Linked DNA regions of Macaca fascicularis. The protein of the gene in region 1 interacts with the protein of each later gene in a pairwise test. Links are inferred from orthologs where the notes say so. Each region holds a gene or a part of one and is shown in the gene's direction. Other genes may lie near its edges. The genes, in order: PRR13, KLHL12 and LGALS3.

The links.
Region 2: the proteins of PRR13 (region 1) and KLHL12 interact in binary tests that used the Homo sapiens proteins (3 or more experiments, as listed by UniProt). The two-hybrid records come from large-scale screens. The link is inferred for Macaca fascicularis from reciprocal best matches to the Homo sapiens genes PRR13 and KLHL12.
Region 3: the proteins of PRR13 (region 1) and LGALS3 interact in binary tests that used the Homo sapiens proteins (3 or more experiments, as listed by UniProt). The two-hybrid records come from large-scale screens. The link is inferred for Macaca fascicularis from reciprocal best matches to the Homo sapiens genes PRR13 and LGALS3.

Annotation. Positions count from the first base shown.
Region 1 is NC_088385.1:60,246,083-60,249,830, forward strand, and holds the start of PRR13 (proline-rich protein 13), read left to right. Parts: upstream 1-1,552; 5' UTR 1,553-1,594; intron 1,595-1,704; 5' UTR 1,705-1,793; intron 1,794-2,486; 5' UTR 2,487-2,506; coding exon 2,507-2,525; intron 2,526-3,210; coding exon 3,211-3,584; intron 3,585-3,748. UniProt on the Homo sapiens protein: Negatively regulates TSP1 expression at the level of transcription. This down-regulation was shown to reduce taxane-induced apoptosis.
Region 2 is NC_088375.1:60,664,737-60,668,384, reverse strand, and holds part of KLHL12 (kelch-like protein 12), read left to right. Parts: intron 1-3,273; coding exon 3,274-3,423; intron 3,424-3,648. UniProt on the Homo sapiens protein: Substrate-specific adapter of a BCR (BTB-CUL3-RBX1) E3 ubiquitin ligase complex that acts as a negative regulator of Wnt signaling pathway and ER-Golgi transport.
Region 3 is NC_088381.1:122,989,177-122,992,924, forward strand, and holds the start of LGALS3 (galectin-3), read left to right. Parts: upstream 1-1,232; 5' UTR 1,233-2,903; intron 2,904-3,748. UniProt on the Homo sapiens protein: Galactose-specific lectin which binds IgE. May mediate with the alpha-3, beta-1 integrin the stimulation by CSPG4 of endothelial cells migration.

The DNA of each region.
Region 1 (3,748 bases):
GAGACATGCTTAACTTAGAATGTGACCAATTTTTATAAATGCTCTAAGCATGCTTAAGGAGAATTAGCAGTCATTAAGTTTTGAGAGCATGGTTCAATGCATGTTCATCAGGTCAAGTTTGTTAATTGTATTGTGTGTGATTTTTTTGTTGTCGTTGTTTATTATTATTATTTTTGAGACGGAGTCTCACTCTATTACCCAGGTTGGAGTGCAGTGGCACGATTTCGATTTCGGCTCACTGCAACCTCCGCCTCCCGGGTTCAGCGATTCTCCTGCCTCAGCCTCCCAAGTAGCTGGGATCACAGGCACATGTCACCACGCCCGGCTAATTTTTGTATTTTTAGTAGAAACGGGGTTTTACCATATTGGCCAGGCTGGTCTCGAACTCCTGACCTCGTGATCCGCCCGCCTCGGCTTCCCAAAGTGCTTGGATTACAGGCATGAGCCAATGTACCTGGCCACTTGTATTGTTTTCTTTAAAAAAAAAAAAAAAAAGTCTGGGCGCGGTGGCTCACGCCTGTAATCCCAGCACTTTGGGAGGCCGAGGCAGGCAGATCACGAAGTCAAGAGATGGAGACCATCCTGGCCAACATGGTGAAACCCCATCTCTACTAAGAAATACAAAAATTAGCCGCGCCTGTAGTCCCAGCTACTCGGGAGGCTGAGGCAGAAGAATCGCTTGAACGCGGGAAGCGGAAGTTGCAGTGAGCTGAGGTCGCACCACTGCACTCCAGCCTGGCAACAGAGCGAGACTCCGTCTCAAAAAAAAAAAAAAAAAAAAAAAAAAAAAAAAAAAAAAAAAGAGGCCATTGTAGCAATTCAGGGGAGAAATGAATCCAGGCGAGAGATGATGGGAGGTTTAGACCAGGGAAGACGGAGAGAAGTGGAGAGATTCCAGATGTATTTGTGAGACAAAACTGGTAATTTGGGGTAAGGGAGGTGAAGGAGACAGAGGGATCACGGAAGACCTCCTTGGTTTCTGGTTTAGGCTTCTTGACAGATGGCGGAGCTATGCAATTGAGAGAGGGAATCCTGGGAGAGATTATGAAATCTCTGTATTTTCCGCAAGAATGTTTGTTTGCTTCCCTTGCGAGTGTAAGAGGGAGCCGAGAACATTGAGGCTTGGGGCTAGGACTCAGCAGCTCCTCTGCCCTTGCCGAGAACTCTGTCTATATCTGTATTACAACACTTACCATAGTGTATTCACTTTACAAGGTATTGCACCCAGTGAACCATGACTAGCAGAGAGCAAGGGCAGAGTTTCTTCTCGGTGTCTCTAGGACTTTGCCCAGCAGCTGGCCCCGCCCCCTCTAGCGCTCTCCGCCTAGCTCCGCCCCCAGGAGATTTCCGGCTTCTCAGTACTTGCCTAGTCGTAAAGGGCTCCGGTCTGCAGCTAGAGCAACCGTTTCCTCCTCAGTTGGACCAGAGTGATTGATTAGTTTGTTGTCCAATCATCAGCCGAGTGGCCACATAATTACCAATTAGGCAGTAGCAGAGGCGGGTACCGAAGCACGGGGTCTGGGTGACTAGGTGTGACTAGGAAGTAAGAGCCGAGACTGCGAAGAACGCATCAAGTCCAGGCGGCGGTGGAAAGGTGACGTGGTATCTGAATTCCATGGGTTTATTCCTTTTCCCATTGCTGGGTTAAGAGCCCCTTCGCAGCTTGGGGCTAGGATCTTCATTTGCCTTTTTTCTTTTTTGGAGGAATTGGGCTGTGTCCATTTATTTAAGTATTTGAGGTTCTTGAGCAACTTCCTTCTTCGCCTCCAGGCGTATCCTTTTCTTAGCCTGAGGTGAGGTCCTCCCCAGGGAGAAAGTTGTTTGAGATCCTTTCTTACTCTGTGGGTGGTTAAAGGCCTCCGGACTCAGTTCCAGGAAAGGGGGATGAATGATGGGGGTGCCGAGACTCGCGGGCTATGCCCTCTTGCGAAGAGTTAGACGCTTCAACCTAGGTGGAGGGGCCCTGGGAACTAGATTCCTGTGTTAGGAACCAAGTAGGTATTGAGGGCGAAGAAACAAGTGGAAAGAGACATTTCTTTCTTTTTTTTTTTTTCGAGGCGGTGTCTCGCTCTGTTGCCCAGGCTAGAGTGCAGTGGCGCGATCTCAGCTCACTGTAACCTCCGCCTCCCAGGTTCAAGCGATTCTCCTGCCTCAGCCTCCCGAGTAACTGGGATTACAGGCGCCCGCCACCGCGCCCGGCTAATTTTTAGATTTTTAGTAGAGACGGGGTTTAACGATGTTGGCCAGGCTGGTGTCGAATTCCTGACCTCGTGATGCACCCGCCTTGGCCTCCCAAAGTGCTGGGATTACAAGCGTGAGCCACCGCGCCCAGCCAGAAAAGAGATGTGTCTTATGTGGAAGTCGTGGTAGTTCTCCAGGTGGGAGAGCCTACTGTGGGGTGGAAGACGTTAGGGCTGGGCTCCGGTGCTAAGTCCACTTCCTACCTCTAGACTGTCATCTTTTTTGCCTCATTTCTTTCTCCTCAGGCTGGAGGACACACCTAAACATGTGGAATCCCAATGCCGGTAGGTGTTTGGGGGTTCTGTACGACCCCTAACCCTTTTTCTGATGGACTCTGTAACAGGAAGTTTCTCTATCAGCTGCCCCATCCCCGACCCGCCACACCCGCAAAAGCAAAGTCCTTAGTCTACAGCTGACCAGTGCTTTTTTATTTTATTTTATTTATTTATTTTTTGAGACGGAGTCTCTGTCGCCCAGGCTGGAGTGCAGTGGCGCGATCTCGGCTCACTGCAACCTCCGCCTCCTGGGTTCAAGCGATTCTCCTGTTTCAGCCTCTGGAGTAGCTGAGATTACAGGCGTGCGCCATCACGCCCGACTACTTTTTGTATTTTTAGTAGAGACGGGGTTTCACCATGTTGGCCAGGCTGGTCTTGAACTCCTGGCCTCATGTGATCTGTCCACCTCGGCCTCCCAAACTGCTGGGATTACAGGCTTGAGCCACCACGCCCCACCGGCCTGACCAGTACTTTTGTCTTCCTCAGAGTTCACTGTCTCCCTCCTCTCTCCAGCCCTTACGGGGACATTCCCCTTTTATCCTCAACTCAGGTTTGTCTCCCCTACCTTCTATTCTCCTTTGTCACTTTTCCATTTCCCTTTAAGTATTGGGTGAGAAAGAATCTCTTTCTTTTTGTTGTTTGTTGTCGGAGACTCTGGGGAATACTAATGTTTATAATCTGCTTCTTCCCCCAGGGCAGCCAGGGCCAAATCCATATACCCCCAACATCGGGTGCCCTGGAGGTTCCAATCCTGCCCACCCACCACCTATTAACCCACTCTTTCCCTCAGGCCCCTGTCCTCCTCCCCCAGGAGCTCCCCAGGGCAATCCAGCTTTCCCCCCAGGTGGGCCCCCTCATCCTGTGCCACAGCCAGGGTATCCAGGATGCCAACCCTTGGGTCCCTACCCTCCTCCATACCCACCTCCTGCCCCTGGAATCCCTCCTGTGAATCCCTTGGCTCCTGGCATGGTCGGACCAGCAGTGATAGTGGACAAGAAGATGCAGAAGAAAATGAAGAAAGCTCATAAAAAGATGAACAAGCACCACAAGCACCACAAGCGTGGCAAGGTCAGTACCCTCTGGAGCCTGGCTAGGGAAGGGGTGCCCCCTCAGAGGGACTAGGTAGGCAGGGGTTGGGTGAGGGGGATTCACATTCTGTGGACGTGGGGGATGACGATTGTGTCACTCTGGTCGATGATTCTTCCTTTTTGTAAAAGATTGCTACTGGGAAG
Region 2 (3,648 bases), on another chromosome or scaffold:
AGTAGCCTGCTTGAAACCTGCGGATGATTTCAAGTTGCACTTAGAGTGAAATCCAGTATTCTAATGCTCTCTGTATCTGGCCCTTGCTTGACTCTCCAGCTTCATATTTTACTCCTCTATCACCCTCATTCACTCTGCTACACTAGCCTTCTAGTCATTTCCTCAAGCTGCCAGTTCTTTTTTGCTGTAGGACAGAGCTGTTCAATGGAACATTCTACGAAGATGGAAGTACTCTATATCTATACTGTTTAGTTTGCTCCTGCTAGCCCCATGTTGCTATCGGGCACTTGAAATGTAGCTAATGCAACTGAGAAGCTGATTTTTAATTTTAATTATGGTGAATGTAAATAGCCACACATGGGTAGTGTATTGGACAATGCACTTCTGGTGCTTTTGAGTGTGCTCTTCTCTCTGCCTGGGAGTACTCTCTCTCTCTCTCTTTTTTTTCTTTTTTTTTTTTTTTGAGATAGAGTCTTGCTCTGTCGCCCAGGCTGAAGTGCAGTGGCGCGACCTTGGCTTACTGCAAGCTCCGCCTTCCAGGTTCACGCCATTCTCCTGCCTCAGCCTCTTGAGTAGCTGGGACTACAGGCGCCCGCCACCACGCCCTGGTTAATTTTTTGTATTTTTAGTAGAGATGGGATTTCACTGTGTTAGCCAGAATGGTCTCGATCTCCTGACGTCGTGATCTGCCTGCCTCGGCCTCCCAAAGTGCTAGGATTACAGGCATGAGCTACCGTGCCGGGTCCTGCCTGGGAGTACTGTCTTACTCCCCCTGGCTAACTGCTACTCATCCATCAGATTTCAATTTGTTGCTTCTTCAAGGAGGCCTTCCCTGCCTCACCAATCTAAACCAGAAAATCTCATGTTGTTCTGTCTCATAGCCCCAGTACCTTTCCTATATAGTATGTAATAATAGTGAGTTTTTTCATTTTTCTGATTTAGCAGTTTGACTCCCCACTTAAGAGCATGGATCATATCTGATTTGTTCACCATATCTGATTTGTTCACCATTGTGTAATCAGTTTCCAGGGCAGTGCCTGGCACTTAGGAGAGGAGTTCAGTAACTCCCTCAAATGAATGCACTTTTTGAAACACTGTCTGCATTTTTAGAGTATCACAGTTCTTGGAAAAAGTTTACAGAGTGATTTTTTTATCTAGTCACAGTGACACTCTGAAAGGTATCTCCCAGAATATGTACTCTCTAGGGGCTTGTAGAAGGGACACAGGACCTGTATTCAGGTGTCTGTCTTTGGGAAGTTCTAGGTGTTATTATATACCTAGGACCTTCCAGTATTGTAGAATAGGTTTTTTTTTAGAGTGTATCTCCCATTATCTAATTGGTCATATGTAATCTTAGACCTAAGTTCTCCAGATGATTAATTAATTATATCTTCTCAAATAGCATAGTGCCTAATACACAGTAGTTCCTTGAAGGCTAATTGATAATGCTTTTCCTTTTTATTTTTTTTAAGACATTTATTCAGCATCACGATCAGACTATTACATTTGGCAATCAACAGCATGGCTGCAAAAAAAAAAATCTGCATTAAAACCCTTTGTTGGAATGCTTTACACTTTCCACAGAACAGAAACTAAAATAACCTATTATACAATTAATCACAAATACAGTCCTCGAGTTTTTTGCCCATACACATGAGTATTTGTGTAAAATATGTCTGCTTTGTAGCAGTTAGGCCCTGCCACCACTGTGCTTGGCTAAATTCACAAATCTGTTGTAACCTGTAGCCTCCCTGTCACTTCTCTGGCTCCCCCTCCAGCTAAGCTTTATTTCCTAATTAAAATCTTCTGCCATTGCCATAGCTACTGCTGCTACTGGAACCACCATAGCCACCTTGGTTTCGTGGTTTGGCAAAGTATTAGTCTCTACCACCATAGGGGCCCAGAGCTTCGGCCTCCAAAGTTTCCTCCCTTCATGGGTCTTGTAATTGCCAAAATCACTGTAGCTTCCACCACCTCCAGAATTGCTTCCATCATTACCAAATCCATTATAGCCATCCCCACTGCCGCTTATCCACCACCACCACAGCTGTCATCTCAACTGAAACCACCTCCACGACCACCAGCAAAGTTTCCAGAACCACTTCGACTTCTTTGGCTGGATGAAGCACTAGCCATCTCTTACTTTGACAGGGCTCTCCTAACTTCACAGTTGTGGCCATTCATAGGGTGTTATTTCTGAATGACAGTCTTATTCACAGAGTCATGGTCATCAAAGGTTACAAAGGCAAAGCCCCTTTTCTTGCCACTGGCTCAGTCAGTCATGATTTCAATCACTTCAATTTTTCCAAACTGTTAAAAAATCTCTTAGGTGATGTTCTTCAGTGTCTTCTTTAATGCTGCCAACAAATACCTTTTTCACAGTTAAGTGGGCACCTGGTCTTTTGAGAATCTTCTTTTGAGACAGCTCTCTTTGGTTCCATGACTCTTCCATCCACCTTGTGAGGCCTTGCATTCATGGCTGCATCCACCTTCTCCACAGTGGCCAATGTGACAAACCCAAAGCCCCTGAGCGCTTGGTGTTTGGATCTCTCATTACCACACAGTCCATGAGCATTCCCCATTGCTCAGAATGACTCCTTAGGCTCTCATTGGTTATTTCAAAGCTCAACCCTCCAATGAAGAGCTTCCTCCGCTGTTCGGGCTCTTTTGGAGACTCTGACTTAGACCTGAGGGCAGGGAGAAGACAGACTTTAAAGATACTACTTTGGCAGCATCCACGGGCAGAAAGGCGATAATGCTTTTGAAAACAGCAACTAATGATGTTAGAAAAGCTCCTGCTTCAGAGGCTTGGATGAACAATTTGAGGGGTGAGCCTGGAGATCATTAGATAACAATTATGACTAAAAATTATTTCAAGAGCTGATTGTCAATAAGGCAACAGATTCCCCCACCTACCTTCCCTAAAGTTAGAGAGATGACCAGAGGCAATTCAGGAATGGGGAAAATTCTGAAACGAAGGCCAATATGTGACTAGTGATTTATTACGTACTGTTTATCATTCATATGTGTGTGTGTGTGTGTGTGTGTGTGTGTGTGTGTGTGTATAACCCAAATTGACTATAATTCTTTTCCTGGTCTGTTAGCTGTGTCTGAAAAAAATGTTTTCCCAAGAGCCTAGCTGTTTCTGGAAGATGGGAAATAATGGTGATGGGCAATGGGAAAGCAGGAAGGAGAAAGTGAACGTGGTTACTTTTTGAGATGGTGAGCTAATTGGAAAACTAGGATCCACGGTGTGTAATTACACATTTACAGGTGGATTCTGAAGAGCCAGTCTTTGAGGCTGTCATCAACTGGGTGAAGCATGCCAAGAAAGAGCGGGAAGAATCCTTGCCTAACCTGCTACAGTATGTGCGTATGCCCCTGCTGACCCCCAGGTATATCACGGATGTAATAGATGCTGAGGTAAGTGGTGCAACACTCTCAGGATCCAAAACCTTGACAAACTCTTACCTTAGTGTTCTGTATTCAAAACTGATTATTTTAACGTAGGCACAGAGTCTCCTGGTTTGCCTGTCTAGGAATGCCAGTGAGAGTGGTGCTGGGTAGTTCCCAAGCATATTTCTAAGAAAAGTGAATTTCTTGGCAGACTCTTGACACAAATGAAAATCTGTGGTTCAATTTTGTGTT
Region 3 (3,748 bases), on another chromosome or scaffold:
AAGCTGAAAAACTGCAGGAAATAATTTATCTTTATGTTATTAATTGGTTACTATAAGGGCTACAGGAATTATTTAGGAACCAGATGATAACTGGTTTTCTCCATAGGTTACATAAGCCGGTTCCTGCAAAGATTCTTCCCTTACCCCCCTTAATTTTTTTTTTTTCCTCAGAGATCCTTGTTTTGGCCTGCAAGGATTCTTTGACCTGGTGCTTTTCCAGATAAAGTTTAAGAGTCAGGATTTCTGGATTTTGTTCCTAGACATGAGTGAGCTTGGATAAGTAAATCATTTTCTCTTTTAGTCTGTTTGGGCTTCTGTAACAAAATATCATAAACTGGGTAGCTTATAGATAATATACATTTATTTCCCACAGTTCTGAAGGTCGGGAAATCCCCAGGCCAGCAGATTTGGTGTCTGGTGAGGGCCTGCTTTCTGGTTCACAGAGGGCGCCTTCCGGCTGTGTCTTCACATGGTGGAAGTGGCAAGGGGTCTCTCTCCGGCCTCTTTTATTAGGGCACCGATCTCATTCATAAGGACCCTGCCCGTATGACCCAATCACTTCGCAAGGCCTCCACCTCCTAACACATCACCATGAGGGTTAGGATTTCAACATATGAACTTTGGCGGGATATAAACATTCAGACTATAGCACCCTGAGAGTAAAAATGAGATAATAATACTTATCTCTTTCTTCCAACGAAAACATAAGGTGAAGTTAAAAGGAGGATATATATATATAATGTGAATTTCCTGTGCAAAATGTGTTAAAGAGTTGTCTAATTGCTTCATAAGGGAATTGCTTTGAGACTAGGCCTATTGATCTAGAATAAGTAGTCAATTTGTAGTCAGTTCCCTAGGCAATAGACATTGAAAAGGTTTTTGGTTTTGTATTCTACAAATAAAGCAACCTATTAATTGAATTCCCCTCAGTGAATTCTTCACTCAGGTGATTCTGGAGAGGGCGGGGGAGAGACGCGGCCGCAGCCCAGGCCCCCGGAGCGCCACGGAACCGAACGGTGGTGGCAGAGGGCGCGCCCCTCAGCCCGCGCTCTGCCCGTCGGGAGCTTCCTGGTCGCCCCTGCGGCGGCGGCGCGGGGTGTCAGGCGGACGCGGGGCTCGCCCAGCATGGTCCGGGGAGAGGCTGGGCTGGGCAGGGGAGCCGCCCCGCCTCGGGAGAGGCGGGCCGGGCGGCGCTGGGAGTATTTGAGGCTCGGAGCCACCGCCCCGCCGGCGCCCGCACCTCCTCGTTAGCAGCCGTCCGGAACCAGCCAACGAGCGGTGAGCGGCGCGGGGCGCTGGGGACGCGGCTCCGGCCGGGCAGGGGTGAGTGCGCCCGGGCGCTGCTTAGGGCGCGGCTCGGAGGGGTTCGGCTCCCCGGGACCAGGCCGGGACGCGCGCGGAGAGCCCCACAGCCTGTGCTCTGCCCTCCGGGTGCGGGGCGGCGGGCCCGGGGCGGTCGCCTTTGATTCTTGAGGGCGCTGGCGCTCGGGAAAGGTTGGCAGCGCCTTCCGAGACCCACACACGTCCCCGCGGCGGCACGGGCCACCTTCTGCGGAGCCTCGGGGGCTTCACCGCCGTCGCACCTCCGCCGGCTGCGCTCTGCGGCCCCGGAGTAAGCCCCATCCGGTGAAGAGCCGCGGTCTGGTCACCCCAGTCCTGCCAGGTCCCGCTGCGAGGGGAGGCGGAGGGACTCGCTCAGCAAACCAGACGGCCGCTCCAGTTTCTCTAACTGGGGTTGGGGCCGGGTAACCCTTCCCCAGAGCTCGGCCGCGGGGGAGCGAAGGGACTTCTGAGGACTGCATAGGGCGCCTCCCGGAACCCACAGCTTGGCTCGCCCGGCCCCTTTTGAGCATCAGCTGAGGCTGGACTCGGAGGAGATCTCTCTGTGGGGCGCGAATGAGTTCTTCCACGAGGACCAGCTGCGGCCGGGCTGCAGCCGCTCTCTGGTTGCTAATCCCACAGAAATGGTGCTTGCCCCATGGCCTGAGTGGGCATGACCCGGCTTAGCGAAGACTGCAAACTCTTAAGCTTTTCCGAATCAAATGCCCTTCCCTGCCCAGACTGTCTGTGCCGAGGAAGTGTTGGGTGTGGCAGAATGTTGGTCCTAGTGTGCAGAGCCCTAGCGGGGGACTCCCAAAACATGTTTGAGAGTTTATTCTGAATTATTGGGTGCTCAAATAGAAACACTAAAACGATTGCCCTCTGAGAAGTAGGCACTAAGGGCCAGGGAATCGGGGACGCATGGTGGAGGCTGGGACTTAGGCCTCAGTCTTACCCTTCAAGTTAGCCATGCCGATTCCAGAGACTGCGGAATGTTTGTAAAGTGACTCTGGGAGTTGGGTTGCTGCACAATGAGGACACCTGGACCTCAGTGACCCAGGCTGTTTCTAGGATTGTGGGAAAGGAATGGGAGAAGGCTCAGTTAATTCTGAAGAAAATGAGGCTGATACAATGAACCACTTGGGCACAGAGCTTGAGAAGAAAAAGCTGTCGTCAGCTTCCAAAGTTCTGATTTGTTTACTTCAAGGTTTTTGTTTTTTGTGTTTTTTGTTTGTTTTTTTGAGACGCAGTTTCACTCTTGTTGCCCAGGCAATGGCACGATCTCGGCTCACTGCAACCTCCGCCTACTGGATTCAAGCAATTCTCCTGCCTCAGCCTCCCGAGTAGCTGGGATTACAGGCATGCGCCACCATGCCCGGCTAATTTTGTATTTTTAGTGATGGTGGTGGTGGTGATGGGGGTGTCTCTCCATGTTGATCAGGCTGGTCTCGAACTCCTGACCTCAGGTGACCCACCCGCCTCGGCCTCCTAAAGTGCTGGGATTACAGGCCTGAGCCACTGCGCCTGGCCTACCTCAAGTTTATAAACATTTCATGCTAGGAAATTGTGTGTTTCCACGAAAGGTAAAGTTGAATAATGATTATTTACTTTTCTCCAACAATGGTCTCCCTTTTAGACATTGACTCTAAATCCTTAGGGTAGGGTCTCTCATTCTAGGGATGATCATACCCCATCCTTGATCTTTGGGGGATTTAAGCAGCTTCCTAAATTCATATTTAGAGGTGACATTTAAAATCAGCACTTAGTCCAGATTCTGGGGAGAAGTTTGATGATGGTCCTTGAATATTTAGCACTTAGAAGTGCTAGGAGGATGCCTCAAAAGTTACGTAAGAAGCACAAGAGGACGAGTACCGCCTGATGGATTGACCCTGAAAACTAGTTGTGTCCAAGTAGAATAGGTGTCTTGCTCTGTTAAGAGGTCTTTAATCTATGATAGTTCGCTGTGCTACAAATATGCATAGGTGCTTTATAAAGACTTTTCACTTAGTGAGGTCAAGAGGCTAATGCTGGTCTCATGTATAATTTAGGTACCTTTTTACATAGAACTTTCATTAGCCAGACTATAAACCTTAACTGCAGCCGAGACCTATGTTCATGTAGTATGCCTTCAGAATCTCGTGTTGACCTTAAATGCCAAGTGACTTGTAAACTTACGTACTTGATACTTGCGGTAACTGATCTCAAACATAGCTCTTCTTTCCTGTCGTTTGGGACACAGGCTCCCACTCAAGGGTAGCTCCTTGTGTCTGGTGCCTGAACTGATCTTCTCATTAAATTCTGAGTGGGTAACTTGAGAGCCAGGCTAGGCAGTGCTTGCTGTATACTTCCAGTTCGCTATTGACTAAGTGTCATGTGTTCTCTTTTGACCCCTGTTCAGCTTTTCCATAGCGGGAAAAAATCAGTCACT